Linked DNA regions of Stegostoma tigrinum. The protein of the gene in region 2 purifies or fractionates together with the protein of the main gene of each other region. This does not show direct contact. Links are inferred from orthologs where the notes say so. Each region holds a gene or a part of one and is shown on either strand. Other genes may lie near its edges.

The links.
Region 1: the proteins of cav1 (region 2) and potassium voltage-gated channel subfamily A member 5-like purify together in Homo sapiens (affinity purification with western blotting, with the first as the bait; 3 studies listed by BioGRID). This does not show direct contact. The link is inferred for Stegostoma tigrinum from reciprocal best matches to the Homo sapiens genes CAV1 and KCNA5.
Region 3: the proteins of cav1 (region 2) and trpc1 purify together in Homo sapiens (affinity purification with western blotting; 3 studies listed by BioGRID and IntAct, with this or other methods). This does not show direct contact. The link is inferred for Stegostoma tigrinum from reciprocal best matches to the Homo sapiens genes CAV1 and TRPC1.

What each region holds. Positions count from the first base shown.
Region 1 is NC_081378.1:40,106,454-40,114,049, forward strand, and holds the start of potassium voltage-gated channel subfamily A member 5-like, read left to right. Parts: upstream 1-3,014; 5' UTR 3,015-3,071; coding exon 3,072-4,532; 3' UTR 4,533-6,042; intron 6,043-7,596. UniProt on the Homo sapiens protein: Voltage-gated potassium channel that mediates transmembrane potassium transport in excitable membranes. Forms tetrameric potassium-selective channels through which potassium ions pass in accordance with their electrochemical gradient.
Region 2 is NC_081371.1:34,145,798-34,153,393, reverse strand, and holds the start of cav1 (caveolin-1), read right to left. Parts: upstream 5,388-7,596; 5' UTR 5,070-5,387; coding exon 5,040-5,069; intron 4,146-5,039; exon of another isoform or gene 3,905-4,145; intron 3,130-3,904; coding exon 2,965-3,129; intron 1-2,964. UniProt on the Homo sapiens protein: May act as a scaffolding protein within caveolar membranes. Forms a stable heterooligomeric complex with CAV2 that targets to lipid rafts and drives caveolae formation. Mediates the recruitment of CAVIN proteins (CAVIN1/2/3/4) to the caveolae.
Region 3 is NC_081367.1:73,191,309-73,198,904, reverse strand, and holds the start of trpc1 (short transient receptor potential channel 1), read left to right. Parts: upstream 1-3,402; 5' UTR 3,403-3,851; coding exon 3,852-3,978; intron 3,979-7,596. UniProt on the Homo sapiens protein: Forms a receptor-activated non-selective calcium permeant cation channel. Forms a heteromeric ion channel with TRPC4 or TRPC5 that has reduced calcium permeability compared to the homomeric TRPC4 or TRPC5 channel.

The DNA.
Region 1 (7,596 bases), on a different chromosome or scaffold from region 2:
ACAGCACCAGTTATCTTATGAAAGCAATGTTCAAGCAACAGCAATGAATCAAATGATCGATTCATTGAGGAATTAGTTCAGAGAGGATACTAGAAATTTGCTGCTCTTAGAAAAGTGTCTCATGACGTTTTAACATTCAGTTGAACAGACATGTGGCATTAACAGTTGACTGGACAGTCAGAAGCAGTCTGACAGTCAGAAGCATCCAAAAGGACATATGGCATGTTATGCTGAGGCCTATTCTACATTATTAGTGTTTTGCATTACTTGAATAACATGAGAAACACGTGACACATTTGCTGTAAATTCAAGATCTGCCAAACCCTACCTTGTGCTTAATCCTTAATCTTCAAAAATTACTCACTTGCAAGAACTCGCATTAACTACTTATACCCCATTCAGTGTGCAGAATTACTTCAATCAGTACTGGCAGGTGGTCTATTATAGCTACCTCTCTGACAAGCAGACATTGGGCAAAATTCCCTAATTCATTTCATTTCCAGTTGGGATACTCCAATCTGCTAAACTCCCCACATGAAGAAGGATGAACTGGCTCCCGTTCCAAATTCACCCACCTTCTCGTTACAGTTTGTGTACACAAATCTACATAGGAAGTACCATAGTCTGCTCAAGTTCAATGTCAGTAGCTATTCCAAACCTTTTGGAAAAGGCATTTAGAAAAAGACATGCCCTCAATGCGATTCATATATTTACTGGGATGTGGAGCAACAGATTGGTGTAGGCTGCAAATATTCTCGCACTACAGCCACCATCTCCTCCCAAACTCCTGTTGGATACCAAATCAATGCCAGAGTTTGGATTTTGCATAACTTCTACAACCAATCTGGAGGTGAGGTTCTCCAAAGTTATTACGGTTCTGGATGGATACCCAAAATCATTAAGCTGCCAAGAGAGATAGGATGAACTCGCTCCCTGTCTTTATTTATCTATCTTCTCAGTTGGTTGCAACAAAGTTATTTTAGACAGGATTCCTCTGTGTGGAATCCTTTCTCGCAGACCAAATTAATGTTTTAAAAGGGGCAATTTGAACTTCTTTCTTGAGTGAACAAATGAGTGATATTATTGGTTACTTGATGTGAAAAGAATCAATAAAGTAATATGCTTACATGCAGATAGGAATAAGAAGTGAGCCTTAAAAAAAACACAAAAATATACTTGACTTTGTAGTGCTGAGGGTCTTTTCTGAGAGCATGATTTTATGAATCGATTGTTCAATTTTTAGTACATACAATTTATTAGCATGAATAGTCCTCATGCCGTTCAGCATTTTAAGTGGTGGTGGCATATATTAGTTTTCAATCTCCTGGAAACTAGTTTCAGTTATGTTAGTGTGTTATTTTATGAACTATTAAATTATGCACCCTTTCTGGTCAAATATTCTTAAAATTTCATAGTTTGCATTCCTAAAACTCATGAGGTGATTCGTGTTCAGCCTCTATTTGAAGAATCTTTGCTTAGGAAGAGATCTAAGCAGGAATTTGCTTTCAAAACCTGAAGCAAAACCATGCCTCAGCATAAATGTGATGCCTTACAGATTGTGCACTGTGCAAGCTGTCACACTCATGGGGAGGGCATCAATCAGTTGGGATCATGATTACTTTGCATTAGTTTTAGTTTGACGGCTATCAATTTATTTACCACTGGATCACACCCATATGTTCCAGAAAGAAACAGCACCATACAGTTAAGTCCATCTGCTCTCTCAATCGCTGACCGAATTAAATCATCACTATGTCATTGAGTCATGCAGCTGTACAGCACAAACGTTTCAGTCCGACCAGTCCACGCTGAACATAATCCCAAACTAAGCTAGTCCCACCTGCCTCCTCATATGCTTAGGTGAGATGAGGCAGAAAAAGTAAATGTGCTTACACATGATTCTGTGGTTAACCTCTCACTGGAGGCTATAGATGGAGGAACCGGACATGAAACATGGCTGACCCAAGAGGCTCTCTCACCACTGCCATAGGCTACCAGAAAGTGATAAACAGCCTGGTTAGCCGTGACACCTTCACTGCCCATCAAGTTATTCAACAGACCTACATTCATATGTTGAACTAGATGGCAAAATGTGTTCAGAAATTTATGATAAATCCACAAACACCAGTTTTCACCTTTCCATTCTGGACAAACTCCGTGACCCGAGGTCAACCACCCAGCGGACCAGAACCCAGCTCTTAATTCCGGAACGGTTCTGGTAGACCCGTAAAGAGACCTGTATTTTTGAAACTGACCATGTCCTGGAGTGGGACTTGAACCCAAGCTCCTGACTCAAAAGACAGCACTCACCACGCCACAAAACCTCCCTGACCCAACTGTACAAAGCACTTGAATCACCACATAGGGTAAATAAAATAACATTCAAATGTTGGTTCCTTTCTCTTTAAAAAACAGTCGTTTAACATTCTACCTGTTTGTATAGTGAAATCGTTTAAAAGTGAGAGAAGGGTTGATGTTTAAATGATTGTGGTTGGCGATCGGGCTTGTATCTGGGAACGGGAAGGGACCGGGGCGGGGAGGTACAGGAGTGTGGACTGGGCTTAGTGGAGGGGTTAAGTCTGAGGCAGCAGCGCCCAGGGTCGGGGTGGGGGGGTCAGAGCGGTGGGTGATAAATTCTGCTGCTCATTTTCAGGCATTCGACGTCAGAGGGAGAGAGAGCTGCAATCATGATTTATTTGTTGCTCATCCGGGTTCCGCTGCTGTATCCAATGCCTTGATGTATCTCTGTGCCTTGCTCTGGGGTGGGGACTGTTGATCTCTGTCTCTGTCTCTTTGTGTGTGTGTGTGTGTGTGTGTGTGTCTCCCAGCGCTCCGCTGACTGATCAGTTCTCGCTAGATGTGGAATGTGTTGAATATTTAATGGCTCGGGGATGGACATAGCTCTGGTGAGGTTGCAGGACGGTGGCGCCGCTCTGGGGAGCTGCCAGAGAGGTGGAGGTGGTGCTGGTGGAGGAGGAGGAGGAGGAGGAGGCGGAATCTTAGCGCCCCTGGGTGTGAGCGCTGCTGGCCCGGCGGCCAAGGGCTACCTGGACCCCCCGGCTCCGGGCGAGATGAACGCGGCGGGGCCGCTGAAAGCCGTGGACCAGGCGCCGCCGGTGGACAACCTGCAACAGCAGCAACTGCTGGAAGTCAACCGCTCGGAGCGGGTGGTGATCAACATCGCCGGGCTCCGGTACGAGACCCAGCTGAGCACCTTGAGCCAGTTCCCGGACAGCCTACTTGGAGACCCCGAGAAAAGAATCAGGTACTTCGACCCGCTGAAGAACGAGTATTTCTTCGACCGCAACCGGCCGTGCTTCGACGGCATCCTGTACTTCTACCAGTCGGGCGGCAGGATCCGCAGACCCGTCAATGTCTCCATCGACATGTTCGCCGACGAGATCCGCTTCTACAAGCTGGGACCCGAGGCCATGGAGAGGTTCCGTGAGGATGAGGGCTTCATCAAGGAAGAGGAGAAGCCTTTGCCTCGCAATGAGTTCCAGAAGCAGATGTGGCTCCTTTTCGAGTACCCGGAGAGTTCCAGCCCTGCCCGGGGTATCGCCATTGTCTCGGTGCTGGTCATTGTCATCTCCATCATCATCTTCTGCCTGGAAACCTTACCCGAGTTCCGCGATGACCGCGACAGTGCCAGCAACTCTCCGCTCAACACCAGCGCCCAGAGCCCCGGGACTGGGGACAACAGTAGCCTCAGTGACCCCTTCTTCATCATCGAGACCACCTGCGTGGTCTGGTTCACCCTGGAGCTGCTGGTCCGCTTCCTGGCCTGCCCCAGCAAGTCGGTCTTCGCCCGGGACATCATGAACATCATCGACATTGTGGCCATCATCCCGTACTTCATCACCCTGGGCACTGAGCTGGCCGAGCAGCAGACCAATGGTCAGCAGGCCATGTCCCTGGCCATCCTCAGGGTCATCCGCCTGGTGCGGGTCTTCCGCATCTTCAAGCTCTCCCGCCACTCCAAGGGTCTCCAGATCCTGGGCCAAACCCTCAAGGCCAGCATGAGGGAGCTGGGCCTGCTCATCTTCTTCCTCTTCATCGGGGTCATCCTCTTCTCCAGCGCCGTCTACTTCGCCGAGGCGGACGAGCCGCGCTCCCACTTCTCCAGCATCCCCGATGCCTTCTGGTGGGCGGTGGTCACCATGACCACGGTGGGCTATGGGGACATGAAGCCGGTCACCATGGGCGGCAAGATCGTGGGGTCGTTGTGCGCCATCGCCGGCGTCCTGACCATCGCCCTGCCCGTGCCCGTCATCGTCTCCAACTTCAACTACTTCTATCACCGGGAGACGGACAACGAGGAGCAGGCTCAGTACCTGAAGGACGACACGGACAGCGAGCCCAGTCACTCAGAGGAACTGAAGAGGAGCAGGAGCTCCCTGGGCAAACCCTTGGAGAACAGTGAGGGGGTGAACAATGGCGCGGGGGCTCACCTGAAGGCCAACAGTGCCCCCGACATCAGGAAATCGCTGTACGCACTATGTCTGGATCCAAATACAGAGACCGACCTGTAGCCCCGGCCACTTTCCACATGACAACTCTCCAGACTTGTTTGGGGTTGACAAACTGAAAAAAAAAACCACTCAGCATTTGTACAAACCACACAGGTTAGATTAGTTAGGCGAGAAGAAAATATCAATTTTATACATCATTCTTTATCAGACCGTCAGATACATTCCAAGGGGTTTAGCTAAACACTTTGGCGCTGGTTCTTAATTTTTTTGGGGCGTGGGCTGTTGGAGGGGTTTGGGGTTGTTGATGAGACACCGGTTTTCTGCAGGTGCACAATAGGACAGCTGGAACTTGTGCACAGCTCCAGCCTCCGTCTTGTATTTGTTTTGCTTTCATTAATTGGAAACAAATGTAAAGTCTTAAAATTCCATAAGTTTATTTTTGAATTTGTAATTGAGGCAGGTGTGAAGTAGCTCAGTTTTCCTGTGAGGAAGAAAGGTCATGGACTATCCAACCCTTTGTTTCCTGCAATACTTTGCTCATGTTTTGTGTCATATATATTTATATATTTATATACATAAAATTAAGCGGTAGGAGTGGGAGGCGGAAATGTATTCAAACGCATCAAAGCCTGTCGTGATGAGAGTTCGCAACAGTGTTTGTTTTATTTACAATGTAGCTACCGTCAGAGAGAGAGGAAATTCAGTTTGCTTGGAGTCTTAAGGAAGACAAAAGTCGTATTTGTATTTAGGCAATGTGGGACTTCTCTGTTCGCAATATATTTTTTCAAAGTGTTCATGCGACAAAATTCGAACAGATCATACGAGAATTACTGAACAGTATATTTAGATAATTGGAGCATTCCTTGTTTATTTAATATTTATGGGGACTTAAATCAGCAACTTCAGCTTTTTGTACTGATTTTCCATGTTTGGAGAAGCACTAGACTCTCTCTTTGCTGGTAGAGCTGTCAAAGCTTATTGTACATCCACTTAATGTGTTGCAAATGATCTCATGTAAACAAAAATCCAAAGGAATTCGCTAGAGGATCCACTTGATCATATTTGTAATGACCTAAGTGAATGCATTGATTTATACTAATGTTGTAAAATAACTATTTTAAAATCTGCATATTTATTCTGAACAGTAAATCTGCAAAACTGGGTTCTCTAAGAACAGACGAAGATTGGGATTAAGTACCTGAAGTTTAACACATGAACTGTGAAGTAATAAAAGTTGATACCACAGAGTGATGAAACAACAAAAGATAACCAACACATTTTTTTGAACTGGAAACACATTTTAGATGATGACAAATCATTCTGGATTTGATATTTGCTATGACTCGTCTTTTATCTTTTGAAAATGTTTAGAGGAAGTGAACTTTGGACAACATTATATGTTAGGGACTGCCTTATAACTATCGCAAAGCTATAACAATTTGAAACAAATCTTGTGATGTGGAAGGATTTTTACCAGATTCTGAACCGATATTCAGAACACCCATGTCTTCAAATGGACAAAACACCTGTCTCTTGTGAGTGGCTCACTGCTGCAGGCACATGATCGAAGGTTAGTGTTTTACCATTTCTTTTTAAAACTTTGCTTTGCTTAAAAAGTAAACAAAAAATGAAGATTTTAAAAAGGGTACCATTTCTTTCATTTGTAACCCTTTTAAACATAAAAAAATTGAGTTACAGGACATTGTGAAATTATCAAAGTACTATCTACATTCATTTAAAAAATACAAGATCTTTCATTCTAATGCAGCTGTTTTGCTATTAAATGCACAGATAATTACTGGCTTTGTGAAAAGTATCAACAAAGAGCTACCATAATGATTTCACTGTGAGCTTATTAGTGTATTATCTGCTTTGCTGAATGACATTACTTTGATTGGCAGGTAGCCCTCTGCTGATGAGCAATCCATACCTTGAGACTTGAGCCTTTTATGTTAATTTCAGATGTTAATTACATAATGTTAGCAAGAACTTTGTAAATACTTACGATCTCTGATTCTGATATTTACATTTGAAGTTTTCTTCTGCCTTACATATACAGAAAGTTTACAAAATTACTTGAACATTAATTAGCACTATCTTGTTTCATAGATAATTTTCAAAAGAAATCTGAGACTGTTTTACAACCACATATCTGATATGGATTGTGCAACCACCTGGGGGAGACCACACCATTAGATATAATGTCCTGCCTTATTTAACAAAAATAGATTTCCAATTTCAAAACAGCTGAATTGAGAATCACCAGCATCAGTGCCACTCTTTTTATTCTTAAAAGATAAATGGAAAAGGGTGTTTTGGTTCATGATTTATGGGTCTTTCCTTGATATTGCCATCTTATACACTCCATGGGTTCTTAACATAAATTTAATTTGGTTTGCAGGAAATCTGTTTAGAACAATAGTTTATAACTGCTGTTTACAGCATTTTACCATTTGACAGTGTACATATGTCGGCATGTTCAGAGATCAAATGAATTCAGATGGCTGACTGTTTCAACATTACAGACTTAAGATTTTCTGTGTTGCTGGGTGATTGCGACATCATACCCACAGCAGGAAGATTTCTTCTGATCACCATTTCTCGTGAAAACATGAATACATTCTCAAATAACATGATTTTAATTTTGCTAGGAATACTAACCAAAGGAAATCTTCCTTTTACATTTTAATGTTGCATGTGCTTAGTGGCCAAGAAGAAAACAGTCCTGATTGTCATCGTATTTTGTTTGATGTTGTTTCTATTTATTTCTTATGCACATACATGTTTAAAGATTGTACTTTTCATTAATGAAGTGCTGAGCTCTTTTGTGTTTAATTATTTGTGAGTATTTGTTGAAAATGTTATTGACAGAACATATGAAATTATATTTTGTGTACTGAGTAGTGTGGACAATTGTCATGTCTTATTCACTGAACTAAACTTTAATTCGTAGCAGAGTTATACAAATAATATTCAATTTTATTACGGCACCTTTCTTTAAGCAAATCAAATGTTAGTAATCTGTAGGACTAGATGGTATTTGGCTTATTTGATTTGTACACCATTCTTGAAGAGTTGCCTCATCTCAAATTCAGCTAAGACTTCATTGTTCGTTAGCCACAAG
Region 2 (7,596 bases):
GTAAGGGTTTAGTTAGTTTTAAATGATTGCAGAAGAAAAATGCTAAAGTTGTAACACTGTATAAGATTCTGGAATAGACCTAGTATGAAAAGCATCACTTATCTGGTTAGATTACGTCAATATCCATATCTGTATACTTTTGCAACCTATCAATTTATGTGTGTGTATATATATATCTCATGTCTGACAAAAGAGCTAAAACATGCCAGTGACAAGAGTGTGATGACATCGTCCAAGTTTCTGGCCTACGCTACTGCTTTAATGTTTAATGTTCAAGAGCCGAGACTGTCTTTGTTAAGGTTTGGCTACATATACGACACAAGCAAACACAAGTGATAATGTATACATGTGGTTCCTTCTACAATTCTATAACAGATGTTTTGAAAACTTTTAACAAATAAGATTATGTCTTAAAAAACTGTTTAAAACATAAAAATGCAATCGTCATACAGTTGAATATTTATGGCTTTTGTTTAAGACCGTTGCATTTAAAATGAAAGCTACATCTTTGAATGCTTAAAACTGCCTTTCCATTGATTAATGCAATAGTTACAGGTAACAATGTGCGAAAGAATTGCTTTGCTGTGCTCTGCTATCAATTTAATTATCCTGTAGTAAGGCTTAATTTAAATATTGTGTTACTACACTGTGTTATTATACAGGTTTCACATGTGGACTTCCCACATGTTAGATACCATAGTGGTTGGAATTTGAGTGCTACACATAATTTGCCTTACAGAATATTCATTTGAAAGAATGGCAAAGAGCCTATCAAAGTACTAACATCATTGTCAGGCTTTCCATGGTTAAAGCTAAAAATGGTGTCACCATCATTATTGGGGAGCAAGGCTCCAGTTTCAAAATTGTTTTCCACAGTGGTAGAAATGTACTGCACTATGAACTTTAACAATACTGTATTTATGCTTTTTTTTTGTTAAAATGTAAAATAAATTTATAATGGGTGAAATAATAACACTGTCTCATTACATCATTGCACACATTCACAACTGTGGTCTTGGTTTGGATTTCATCAATGCAATAATGATCCTTTAATTAAAACTAATATTGGACTTCAAACATAGTCAGCAATACTAAATATTTCAATTGCATACATGATCATTTGCATAAGTTTTCTTTTGAATGTTGAGTTTAAACTTCTGGGTGTCAAATATACTTGTTATCAATAAGAGAGCATCTGATAATTTAAAATGCACAAGCTGCATGAAAAATGTTACCAAACCTGTTTTTTTTCTGTTTTCCTTTAATCACATCAACATGTCACTTTTATGCGAGGGAACAATGACAAATACAAAAGAAGTTCCAGTTATTCTTTTCTCTGGTTATTTTTATCTGTTTTATGTGATCGTTACCTCATCCATCCAACATCAGACTGAAATTGGTAAATAAGCTAATTTGGTTTGCTGGATTCTTTTGATAATATGTACATATGAATTAGTAAGAGTTTGGCAGGTAGTCAGTTTCTATAAAAGTTTTTGACTGTGTGGAATGAACTAATTGTTGAATGCAGCAGGTTGAAGGCTGGGTGCTGGGTAACTCCACACAGTGCTGGATACAGTGAGCTTGGCTTGATGCTGGGTACAGTGAGCATAATGTAGTGGGCTGGAGGATGGATGCATGGGACTTTGTGCTGGGTACAGTGACCACAGTGCACCAGACTGGTGGATGGGTGCATCTACACAGGACATAGAACACAGTACAGTACAGTTCAATTACAGGCCCTTTGGCCCACCATGTCTGTGCTGACCATGGTGCCATTCTAAATTAATCCTGTCTACCTGCATAAGGTCCATATTCCTCTATTCCCTGCCTGTTCATGCATCTGTCTAAATGCCTCTTAAACATTGCCATATTATCTGCTTCTACCACCTCATCTGACACCCTCTGCATAAAAACTTTCCTTGCACGTCTCCTTTAAATTCCCCCTGTCCATCTTAAACATATGCTCCTTAGATTTTGAAATTTCCATCCTGGGAAAAAAAACTCCAACTATTCACCCTAGCCATGTCTGTCTTAATTTTACTGGCAGAGGGATGGATGCAATGAACAATGTAAGTGGTGGGGATTAGCACAATGGGCACAGAGCAGTATACAGAGGAATGGGGTCAGTGGACTTCATGTTGGATGCAGTGAGCAGTGGTGGAGCTCAGGGCACAGAGCAGTGGGCTGGGAACAGCAGACTCAGAACAATGAAGTGGGAAATGGACAGTGAGCTGGGGGATGGGGGTAGTGGACACAATGCAGTGAGTTGGAGGATGGGTGGAGTGGACAGTTGAGTCACTTGAGTAGGTAAAGATCAGCGGGCGGGGGATAGGTTCAGTGGACCGGCTTGAAATGTTACAGAGTAATCGGGTGCAGTGGGTACACAGCAGTGGCCTGGGGAAGGTGGGTGATGTGGACTGGGGTGTGGGTTGAGTGGTTACAGAGCAGTGGGTTGGGTGATGAGTGCAGCGGGGTATGGTGTTGCTTGCAGGGTGCAGTTTTGATAAATGCCTTTTATGCACTCAGTATAATCCACACGGTCCTTTCAACACACCGGGAGGACCCTGCACTTTTCACGCTGTTTACAAGTTCCGGTCTGTCGCTGAAATCTCAGGCTATTTCACAGATGAATCATCTCTCGGCCAATTCCATGTTTTTTGTGATAGCTTTCAACAGCAATCCATCCCTGGTGTCTATCAAACACATCAGTAGCTCAACATCAATTCATATCCTCCCTGGGGGTCGAAAATTCGATGCTTCACGGGGAGACACGACTCCCAGAGAAACTGGAAAAATTATAATTGGTAGCAGGGGTTCGTCAATAGGACTGCGAGCAGTTGGAATCGTACTGGGTAATAACCTTGTCCCTGCAAACCTGTTACCTCTGACTACCTTCTATACAAACATTTAACTTTAATTCCTGTATTATTCCCAACTTTAACAAAGTTCGTCTCTCTTCCTTACCTTAACCACATCTTCGTTCAGATGTTTTGGATCTCTGTTGATTAAATCGATCTCTTTGGTGTGAACATCTGTCACGTATTTCTCGTTCAACTTCTCATCTTCCATTTTATTATTGGGTTTGTAAATGTTCCCGTGGTCTCTGATCGGCGACGGGTATAAAAGTCCCTGGGAAGGGTTACAACAATTCCTTGTTTAAGCTGACTTTGAGTTGTTCCAACATAAAACTCGGAAGGTAGTCGCTGCTTGATGCTTAAGAGGAACTTTGTGGAGCCTGATCGTATTTAAGTGGAAAAGTAAAGCGGCACCACACCCCTGTAAACCGGAGCTGGCGGCAGCAAAACCATTTCCATCTGGCAGCAGGGGGCAGCACGGGGGCTCGCCTGGATACAGTGAGTCACTACAGTACTGACCCACTGGGAAATCTCCCTCACTGCCAGGGATACAAGTGAGTCATTCCAGTTATACACCCTCTGGGAGATCACTCCAACTTAGGGATAAAAGGGAGTCATTCCAGTAATGCACCCCCTCAAATGTCTTCCAACTGAGGGATAAAGTGACACACTGCAGTACTGCACCATCTAGGAAATCTCTCCAATTTAGGGATGTAGTGAGTCTCTAGCAATGCATTCACTGGGATTTTGTTTTTATTCAGGAATGCAGTGAATCAGTCCAGCACTGCATCTCACTGGGAAATCTCTCGTTGCGGGCTATAGTGAATCACTGCAGCTCTGGAAAATCTCGCACCAGGGACACCATCATCCAGGCTACCTCTTGCCCGTTTTGTTGGGACATCATCTTGTAAGACTTCGAGTCCAGAAACCGCTCTCTAACTGAACACGGCGTCGAATTCTCCTACAGCCGGCCTTCCCACCCTCTCTCTCTCCCTCCCCATCCCCTTTGGGCAATGCACAACTGCTCGAAGAGGTACCGAATTCAATACCTGTATACGAACATCCACCAGCCTCTGATTCCCTTCCTCCGAAAGTTCTGTTCTGTTTTGTTTTGCAGAACAAATGCAGGATTAATAAATCCAGCAGTTTGAGAACTGAGTCACCGCGGAGATCAGTCCCTTTAACAGGAAAGGGATTGTTTGGGGAGCTTCCTTAAGACCCGAGTGTCAGTACGAAGTTAACGTGTCGGACAGAATAGCGGGTTCAATCCCCGCACTGACTGTGGTACCTAATCGAGAACTGGTTCCTCGCCTTGGTCTGTGTAGAGTGGCGCCCTTTAAACTGTACTCGTCTTCTGAAACAGAGAGAGAGACCGCTGCCTATGTCCTCTCATGGGCTTCAGTTCTCCTGTGAATCCCTCATTTTAATGAAGGATCCTACAGGTTAAATCCTATCGAACTGACACCATCCATAAGTTACCTCTTGTCAATTGCCACTTTTGCATGGTTACAAGAATATCGATGAACGCCAGAGGAACAGAAAATGCTGGAGGGATTTGGTAGGTTCAAGTTGGGGAGACGGCATGGCAGACGCACAATAAGGATTCTGCGATTTAGGAATGAGTACAATGAAGCTTGCCGCCCCCCGAGAGCTTTGAATGCTCAGTCCTTGGGTATAAACCACCAGGGACTGATCTAATTCTGGAGGCAGATGGCTGAAGGGATAAGATTGGAATATGGATTTACCTCCTCATACTGGCGAGACAGGCACAAACAGCCGAATAGCCTGTTCCTGACAATTCTGAGGAGCATAGACCATCGCCATATGTTGTCCTGTCTCCCCAGATCACAAGACATTTTTTATATTCCACTGATTTACAAGTCTGAATAACAATCTAACGTGTATAATTGACTTCTTTTAAGAAAAAAAGCCTCGTGTATTTTCTAGCTTCTTTTATGGCCAAGTATTTTTGTTTCAAAGTCACGATAGGTTCAGTTATTTTGCAGTGTGCGTTCACAATCAACAGGCAACCTTGCCTACGCTCTTCACAATGAAAAACCGGTACAGCAACACCCCCCCCCCCCCCAAATATTGTTACTATCTTGCATCAGATCATTATTATTGTCCCGTTCCTCAGCTGTGGTCTCATTTAGTTGTAATAAGGCGGGCGCGACTCTTCCTTACCTCAAAATCCCCGGTTTTGTCACCAGACATAGCTTCCCAAACTGGAGGATTTCAGCAAATCTGCTGCAGCTCTCTATTACTATTACCCTGCGGAAGGAAGATAGTAACGTGAAAGTAGGTAGTGATCGCTGGTCCTTGTGGCAGACCGCCAGTTCCTCTGGGCTGTAAAGGGAGCTCTGACTTGAAGAGCTGCCGCTTTTCAGTGCACAGAACGCCAAGTTCCCAGCTACAGCGGAAAATAGGGAATGCATACATGACTTCGCAGTGAATCATAGCGAGCAGCAAGGCTTGGGCAAGACCCGCTGTGGGAGGCAAGAGGCGAACATCGACAAGCCAGCGAGAGGGAGAGAATGTGTGAGAGGAGATCGAGTGTTAATGCACGGATGCAGGGCATTCTTGTGCTGGCATAGGAAGGGCGAGACAAACTCCGGCAAATTAGTGACGAAAGTTCAACTGATACTTGCATTGTAATGGGAAAATGTTTTCCAAACAGGGTAACAGTGCAGTGAAGTCTGTTTCTTAGGAAGGGAAGCAAAGTGTCGGACATGGGGACAATGAGATGCTGCTTGGCCTGCTGTGTTCATCCAGCCTCACATTTTATTATCTTGGAAATTTGCTCGAGTTACTTGCGAGATTTATCATAGAATCCCTCTGGTGTGGAAATAGGCCCTTCGGCCCAACAAGTTCAGAGCATCCCACACAGACCCATCCCCCTATAAACCCACCTATCTACACACCGCTGAACACTATGGGCAATTTAGTGTGGCCAATCCACCTGGCCTGCACATCTTTGGACTGTGGGCGGAAACCGGAGCACCCGGAGAGAGCCACACAGTCACCGGAGGAGGGGAAATCGAACCCGGGTTCCTGGCGCTGCGAGGCAGCAGTATTAATCACCGAAATACCGCGCCGGTGTTTCGAAAAGAGGAAATCCAGCAAACTTCATAGGGATTTAACTACTGTTAACAATAGGAATCCGTCTATGGATATGCACTCATGTGGCAAAGACCGGGGGCCAAACTAAACTTCACACGGCTATTTGCCTTGAACTACAGTATAAAGGTCCCACAGTATTCTTTTTCGAGAAAGAGACAACTGGCGATGGGTTACCACGCCTTAGACAAGGGAAAATGTTGAGTAGGAGAGTCCCTCATGGTAACCTCAACCAGCATGGGAACTGAATCCATGCTGTTGGTGTTACTCTGCCTCACAAACCAGCCTCTGGCCAACTGAGCTAGCTAACCTGCAACCATTCTTGTCCATGTAATCCAGTTCTCCCAGGAGCATACATCTAACATCTTCCACTTTCTCAGATTTTTGGCGTGGTGGCTTAGTGATTAGCACTGCTGCCTCACAGCACCCGGTGCCCGGCTTCAATTCCAGCCTTGGGTAACTGTGTGGAGTGACACATTCTCCCCATGTTTGTGCCAGGTGCTCCAGTTACCTCCCAAGTTCCAAATATGTGCAAGTTAGCTGGTTTGGCCATGCTAAATTGTCTGGTAGTGTCCAGGAGTGTGCAGGCTAGGTGGATTAGCCATGGTTAATTTGGGGTTGCAGGGTCACAAGATTAGGGTGGGGTGCTGTACTGAGTGTCAGTGCGGGCTGGATGGGCTGAATGGATTCCATCTGCACTGTAGAGATTCTATGATCTAGGGATGGGTGTCCAAAATCAGCAGTCTTTGATACATTGGGAAAACAACATCTCCCTTCAATAGTGGTCCCAGGTACCATCATCTATAAACATGGGAACATGGTCCTGTGAAACATTCATTGCTATTAAAAGACTGCATCTCCAAAATCTAAGCTTTATTTCTTCCAACTAAATATTGGTAAGACTGCAGCTATTTTCTTTATGACATCCCATTCCAAGATCAAATGCAGTGATTCCATCATTCAAACAGCTCCAGCCACTGGAAGCAGCTGTTTGCACCTGTGGGTATGTTCTATTGAACCTGATTTTCATTCCCTCCATTATAATCATCACTTCCTCCCACCTCCAATACATTCTTGCCTTTGGACATTTACTGGTCAAACCTTCATCAAAGCCTTTGCACCCTTTGGATCCTGTGGTATTCCCTGTTGAACAATCCTGGTATCTGCTACTTCTGCCAGTATGTGGTACTGGGTAAGAGTTGTTTGATAGTTCACTGACAGATATACCATTCCCCTTTGTCTTTGTTTTGTATTCAGTCTGTCTAGTTATAAATGGTTGAGGATCCACCACTATAGGTTATCTAAAACAGAGATCTATTTTTAAATAACAGGAAGGTTTACTGCATTATCGTACAAAGTGCAACTGTTTTTTGCCATGTATAATTATTAAGACCTTAGTGATCTGATAGAGATGTATCTGGTCCCTCCAAAAGCTAGAATAATGTACAAGGTGTGTGTATGACAGCTGTAGAATAGTGGAGTCAATGTAACATTAACTCTTTCAGAGCCATTACCTTTATACAACAGATCCAACAATTCTAATGTTCCTTTGGCCAGTTATCCATCATCTGCTATTTGCAAACTTCAGCGCATTCAAATTTCTGATGCTCACATCCTATCCCAT
Region 3 (7,596 bases), on a different chromosome or scaffold from region 2:
GAACCAGAGGGGTACCAATACACTGGGGGGAGGCAAATTTGCTAATGCTCTTCAGGAAGGTTTAAAATAATTCAGCAGGGGGATGGGAACCCAAATTGTAGCTCCAGAGTACAGGAGGCTGAGAGTAGTGAGGTCATGAATAAGGTTTCAAGGTCGAAGTGTACTGGCGGGCAGGAAGGTGGTTTGAAGCCATGAGCATCTAGCATAAGGAGGGTGAACTTGTCATGGGTTGGTACCTAGGACTTTGATGTTGTGGCCATTTCGAAGACATGGATAGAGCAGGACAGGAATGGTTGTTGCAGGTTCCGGGGTTTAGGTGTTTCAGTAAGATCAGGGAAGGTGGTAAAAGTCGGGGGGGGGGGGGGTGTAGCATTTGTAGTCAAGGACAGAATTATGGTGGCAGAAAGGATGTTTTATGAGGACTCGTCTACTGAGGTAGTATGGGTTGAGGTTAGAAACAAGAAAGGAGAGGTCACCCTGTTGGGAGTTTTCTATAGGCCTCCGAAAAGTTCCAGAGATGTAGTGGAAAGGATTGCTCAGATGATTCTGGATAGGAGCGAAAGTAACAGGGTAGTTGTTATGGGTGACTTTAACTTTCCAAATATTGACTGGAAATGCTATAATTCGAGTATTTTAGATGGGTCAGTTTTTGTCCAATGTGTGCAGAATGGTTTCCTGACACAGTATGTAGACAGGGAAACAAGAGGCGAGGCCACATTGGATTTGGTACTGGGTAATGAACCAGGCCAGGTGTTAGATTTGGAGGTACGTGAGCACTTTGGTGATAGTGACCACAATTATCGCCACATTTACTTTAGCGATGGAAAGGGAGAGGTATATACTGCAGGGCAAGAGTTATTGCTGGGGGCAAGATAATTATGAGGCGATTAGACAAGATTTAGGATGCATAGGATGGGGAAGGAAACTGCAGGGGCTGGGCACAATTGAAATGTGGAGCTTGTTCAAGGAACAGCTACTGCGTGTCCTTGATAAGTATGTACCTGTCAGGTACATAAAATAAAATGTCAGGCAGGAAGGAAGTGGTCGAGCAAGGGAACCATGGTTTACTCTTGTCAAGTGGAAGAAGGAGGCTTATGTAAAGATGAGACGTGAAGGATCAGTTGGGGCGCTTGAGGGTTACAAGTTAGCTAGCAAGGACTTAAAGAGAGAGCTAAGAAGATCCAGGAGGGGACATGAGAAGTCTTTGGCAGGTAGGATCAAAGAAAACCCTAAAGCTTTCTATAGGTATGTCGCGAATAAAAGAATGATTAGAGTAAGATTAGGGCCAGTCAAGGACAGTAGTGGGAAGTTGTGCATGGAGTCAGAAGAGATACGAAAGGCGCTAAATGAATATCTTTCACCAGTATTCACACAGGAAAAAGACAATGTTGTCGAGGAGAATACTGAGATACAGGATATTCGACTAGATGGAATTGAGGTTCATTAGGAGGAGGTTTTAGCAATTCTGGAAAGTGTGAACATACGAAAGTCCTCTGGCTGGATTTATAAATCCTAGGATTTATCCTAGGATTCTCTGGGAAACTAGGGAGGCGATTGCAGAGCCTTTGGCTTTGATCTTGATGTCGTCATTGTCTACTGGAATAATGCCAGAAGACTGGAAAATAGCAAATGTCCCCTTGCATTCAAATAAATATACTTCATACTGTCAGCCCACAGTATACATTAAACTGGCTATGTCTGTTATTCCTATTTGATTTAACTTATACCTTGTCCTCAGTAACTCCACATGCTGACCTATTGCTCTGGTTCCCACCTCAATGCACTCTAGTTTAAACCCTCCCACATAGTACGAGCAATCCTCCATGCAAGGTTATTGGTGCTCTTGCAGTTTAAGTGCAATCTGTCCTTCTTGTACAGGTTCTTCCTGACCTGGAAGAGATACCAATGATCCAGCTATCTGAAACCATTCCTTAAGATCAGCTGTTTAGTTAATCAACTCAATTATCTTATTTCTGGCCTCATGAGCACGTGGCACAGGGAGTAATCCTGAGATTATGACCTTAAAGATCCTGCTTTTCAACTTCCTACCTAATGCCCTAAATTTAATATGCAGGAACTCACTTCTCTTTCAATCTATGTTCTTAGTACCGATATGGACCATGACCCTGGTTGCTCACCTTCTCCCTCCGGAATGTCCAGTGGCAGCTCAGAGACATCCTTGACCTTGGCATCATGGAGTCAACACACCATATTGGTGTCTCACTCAAGGCCAAAGAAACGCCAACCTGTATCCCTGACTATAGAATCCCATCATTTCTGCTCACTTACACTTTGGCACTCCTTGTTGTACAGCAGAGTCAATCATGGTGCCACTGGTCTGGCTGCTGCTGTTGCTTTCCCTTGAGAGACCACCTGCATTCCCCTTCCCCAAAACGTATCCAAAACAATATTTCTGAAGAAGGGTCCAGACACAAAACATCAGTCTTCCTGTTCCTCTTAAGCTGCTTGGCCTGCGGTGTTCATCCAGCTCTACACCTTGTTATCTCAGATACTCCAGCATCAGCAGTCTCTATTATCTCCAAAACAATATACTTGTTTGAGAGGGGAATGCCACAGTTGACTCGTGCACTAACTGTCTATTTGGGTCACCAATCTAGCTGCCTGAACCTTCGGTGTGACCACATTTCTGAAAATCTTTCCTATAAAACTACTTCTCCAACCGATCCATTTACTCTGCGAGGAGCTGCAGGTGGACACACTATCTGCAGACATAGTTGTCATTGATTTCTCCCCAATCCCACATCTCACAGGAGGAGCACACAACTTGTAACAATTAGATTAAAATAAAATTACAGATCTTGTATTGAAATGCCTTAATATTGTTTATCATCCTCAGCAAAGCTGGATACTCAACAAATATGATTATAGTGATTGAAATGAGGTTGATCAGAGGGATCTCATTGAGTATGAATTCCCTGATTGGGGTTGTTAACCTGGGCCAATTAGGGAGTCCTGGCTAACAGATACAAACAGGAGTCCCAGGAATTTCCCTCAATCTGAGGACTGTCTCTGAGCTAGCTGGTCAGAGTGTACCGTACACGTGTGAATAAAGTGTGACTTGGTGACGGGGTACTGGCTTCTGTGGAGTTATTTCAATGATGAAGACTGGTCCTCCAACTCAGTTCTCTTTTCCCACTTTCTCAACATATCCTTGGCTCCATTTCAGCCTAAGATCTACAATGTCACTCCTTGAAAACATTCTACATTTTGGCCTCCACCGCTTCTTGTGGCAGGTAATTCCACAGGTTCACCACACACCAGGTGAAGACAATTCTCCTCAACTCAATAGGAAATGTTCCAATTCCATACCCTTACACTGACCAGGAGACAGTAGCGACTGCAGACTTTCCTGCTCCTCTGATGCTGTCTGACGTCCTCATACAGTGACCCCTGGTTCTGGACTCGCCGGTCGCTGGGAGCATCCTTTCTGCATTTACTGTGTCTAGTCCCTGTAAGAATTTTCTAGATTTCTGTCGGGTCTCCCCCCCCCCGCCATTCTTGTGGAAAACCAACAGAAACTGGCAGAGGTAAAGAAGACACCGAGATCGAAGTAGTGCGCATGCGCACAGCCGCCTCGTCAGCTCTCGGCTCCCATAATAAAAATAATAAATTGCTTTTCGGATTTTTTTTCACTGTTGTATTGCTGGGAGACATATTCTCCCGGAGGCTGGGGACGAATCGAAGACCAAAAAGACCCATGAATGGGAGCAAAGCAGCGGGAAGGCGTGCGGTAAGGGGCGGTGGATGGACAGTGAGCGCGCGGGCGGAGGGACGGTTTTCTGCCGCTCGCGCTGACCGCCCCCGGCGCTGGTTGTCGGACGGCGAGCATCATGGCCAGTCTGTACCAAAGCACCGAGTCGTCGTCTCCCAACAAATACCTGACATTAAAGGACGTGCGGGAAGTCAAGGAGGAGACCACCGTCGACGAGAAACTGTTCCTGCTGGCGTGTGAGAAAGGTAAGGCCGACCCCGGGGAACGGGGCACGACTCGTCTGTCAAACAACCGGCAGCTTCCCAACTCCTTTGCAGAACCTCCCCCCCCCCCCCGCAACGCCCCAGCACTCATCCATCCCCCCCCCCATCCCCCAGCACTCAACCAACCCCCCATCCCCCAGCACTCATCCATCCCCCACCCCCAGCACTCATCCAACGCCCCACACAACCCAGCACTCATCCAACACCCCCATCCCGCAGCACTCATCCAACCGCCCCCATCCCGCAGCACTCCTCCAACCCCCCCCCCGCACCCCCAGCACTCCTCCAACCCCCCCCGCACCCCCAGCACTCATCCAACCCCCCCCCTGCACCCCCAGCACTCATCCAACCCCCCCCCCGCACCCCCAGCACTCATCCAACACCCCCATCCCGCAGCACTCATCCAACCGCCCCCATCCCCCAGCACTCCTCCAACCCCCCCCCCCGCACCCCCAGCACTCATCCAACCCCCCCCCTGCACCCCCAGCACTCATCCAACCCCCCCCCCGCACCCCCAGCACTCATCCAACACCCCCATCCCGCAGCACTCATCCAACCGCCCCCATCCCGCAGCACTCCTCCAACCCCCCCCCCGCACCCCCAGCACTCCTCCAACCCCCCCCGCACCCCCAGCACTCATCCAACACCCCCCCCGCACCCCCAGCACTCATCCAACCCCCCCCGCACCCCCAGCACTCATCCAACCCCCCCCCTGCACCCCCAGCACTCATCCAACCCCCCCCCGCACCCCCAGCACTCATCCAACACCCCCCACCCCCCAGCACTCATCCAACACCCCCATCCCGCAGCACTCATCCAACCGCCCCCATCCCGCAGCACTCCTCCAACCCCCCCCGCACCCCCAGCACTCATCCAACACCCCCCCCGCACCCCCAGCACTCATCCAACCCCCCCCGCACCCCCAGCACTCATCCAACCCCCCCCCGCACCCCCAGAACTCATCCAACCCCCCCGCACCCCCAGAACTCATCCAACCCCCCCCGCACCCCCAGCACTCATCCAACCCCCCCAGCACTCATCCAACCCCCCCCCCGCACCCCCAGCACTCATCCAACCCCCCCCCCGCACCCCCAGCACTCATCCAACCCCCCCCCGCACCCCCAGCACTCATCCAACCCCCCCCCGCACCCCCAGCACTCATCCAACCCCCCCCACACCCCCAGCACTCATCCAACCTCCCAGCACTCATCCAACCTCCCAGCACTCATCCAACCCCCCAGCACTCATCCAACCCCCCACAGACCCCAGCACTCATCCAACCCCCCCCCCCACCTCCAGCACTCATCCAACCCCCCCCCACCTCCAGCACTCATCCAACCCCCCCGCACCCCTAGCACTCATCCAACCCCCCACAGACCCCAGCACTCATCCAACCTCCCAGCCCTCATCCAACCCCCCACAGACCCCAGCACTCATCCAACCTCCCAGCACTCATCCAACCCCCCACAGACCCCAGTACTCATCCACCTCCCCCCCCGCACCCCCAGCACTCATCCAACCCCCCACACCCCCAGCACTCATCCAACCCCCCACAGACCCCAGCACTCACACCCCCCCCCCCCCAACCCCCCGGCACTCATCCAACACCCCCCTCCCCCAGACCACACGGCACTCATCCAACACCCCCCTCCCCCAGACCACACGGCACTCATCCAACAACCCCTCCCCCAGACCACACGGCACTCATCCAACACCCCTCCCCCAGACCACCCGGCACTCATCCAACCCCGACCCGCCGGCACTCATCCAACACCCCCCCCCACCCACCGGCACTCATCCAACATCCCCCCCGCCCCGACCACCCGGCACTCATCCAACCACCCTCAACACCACCACCCCCCATCCAACCTCCCCCACCCCCCATTCAACCCCCCCCCCCCCCAGCAACCCCAGCACTCATCCAACACCCCCTCCCCCAACCCCCCGGCACTCATTCAACACCCCCCCCCCCCGGACCACCCGGCACTCCGACACCGCCCCCCAACCACCCGGCACTCATCCAACCCCCCCCCCCCCCACCCCCAGCACTCATCCAACCCCCCCCCCACCCCCAGCACTCATCCAACCCCCCCCCCCACCGCCACCCCCCATCCAACCGCCCCGCAACCCCAGCACTCATCCAACACCTCCGCAACCCCAGCACTCATCCAACACCTCCCCCCCCCAACCCCCCGGCACTCATCCAACAACCCCCCCCCCAGACCACCCGGCACTCATCCAACACCCCCCCCCCCCCAGACCCCCCGGCACTCATCCAACACGCCTCTACCCCCCGGCACTCATTCAACCCCTACTCCACCCCCTCCCCTGCACGTCTCGCCCCCCCCCCCTCCCCTGCACGTCTCGCCCCCCCCCTCCCCTGCACGTCTCGCCCCCCCCTCCCCTGCACGTCTCGCCCCCCCCCTCCCCTGCACGTCTCGCCCCCCCCCTCCCCTGCACGTCTCGCCCCCCCCTCCCCTGCACGTCTCGCCCCCCCCCCCCTCCCCTGCACGTCTCGCCCCCCCCCTCCCCTGCACGTCTCGCCCCCCCCCTCCCCTGCACGTCTCGCCCCCCCCCTCCCCTGCACGTCTCGCCCCCCCCCTCCCCTGCACGTCTCGCCCCCCCCCCCTGCACGTCTCGCCCTCCCCTCTCCTGCACGTCTCGCCCCCCCCCCTCCCCTGCACGTCTCGCCCCCCCCCCTCCCCTGCACGTCTCGCCCCCCCCCTCCCCTGCACGTCTCGCCCCCCCCCTCCCCTGCACGTCTCGCCCCCCCCCTCCCCTGCACGTCTCGCCCCCCCCCTCCCCTGCACGTCTCGCCCCCCCCCTCCCCTGCACGTCTCGCCCCCCCCCTCCCCTGCACGTCTCGCCCCCCCCCTCCCCTGCACGTCTCGCCCCCCCCTCCCCTGCACGTCTCGCTCGCCCCCCCCTCCCCTGCACGTCTCGCCCCCCCCTCCCCTGCACGTCTCGCCCCCCCCCTCCCCTGCACGTCTCGCCCCCCCCCTCCCCTGCACGTCTCGCCCCCCCCCTCCCCTGCACGTCTCGCCCCCCCCCTCCCCTGCACGTCTCGCCCCCCCCTCCCCTGCACGTCTCGCGCCCCCCCCCTCCCCTGCACGTCTCGCCCCCCCCCTCCCCTGCACGTCTCGCCCCCCCCCTCCCCTGCACGTCTCGCCCCCCCCTCCCCTGCACGTCTCGCCCCCCCCTCCCCTGCACGTCTCCTTGCCCCCCTCCCCCGCACGTCTCCCCTGCACGTCTCCCCGCCCGCACTTCCACCCCCCCCGTTCTCCTCCCTTGCACATCTTTCTCCCCCCCTTGCACATCTTCCCCCCCCCTCCCTTGCACATCTTCCCCCCCCCCTTGCACATCTTCCCCCCCCCCTTGCACATCTTCCCCCCCCCCTTGCACATCTTCCCCCCCCCCCTGCACATCTTCCCCCCCCCCCTTGCACATCTTCCCCCCCCCCTTGCACATCTTCCCCCCCCCCTTGCACATCTTCCCCCCCCCCTTGCACATCTTCCCCCCCCTCCCTTGCACATCTTCCCCCTCCCTTGCACATCTTCCCCCTCCCTTGCACATCTTCCCCCTCCCTTGCACATCTTCCCC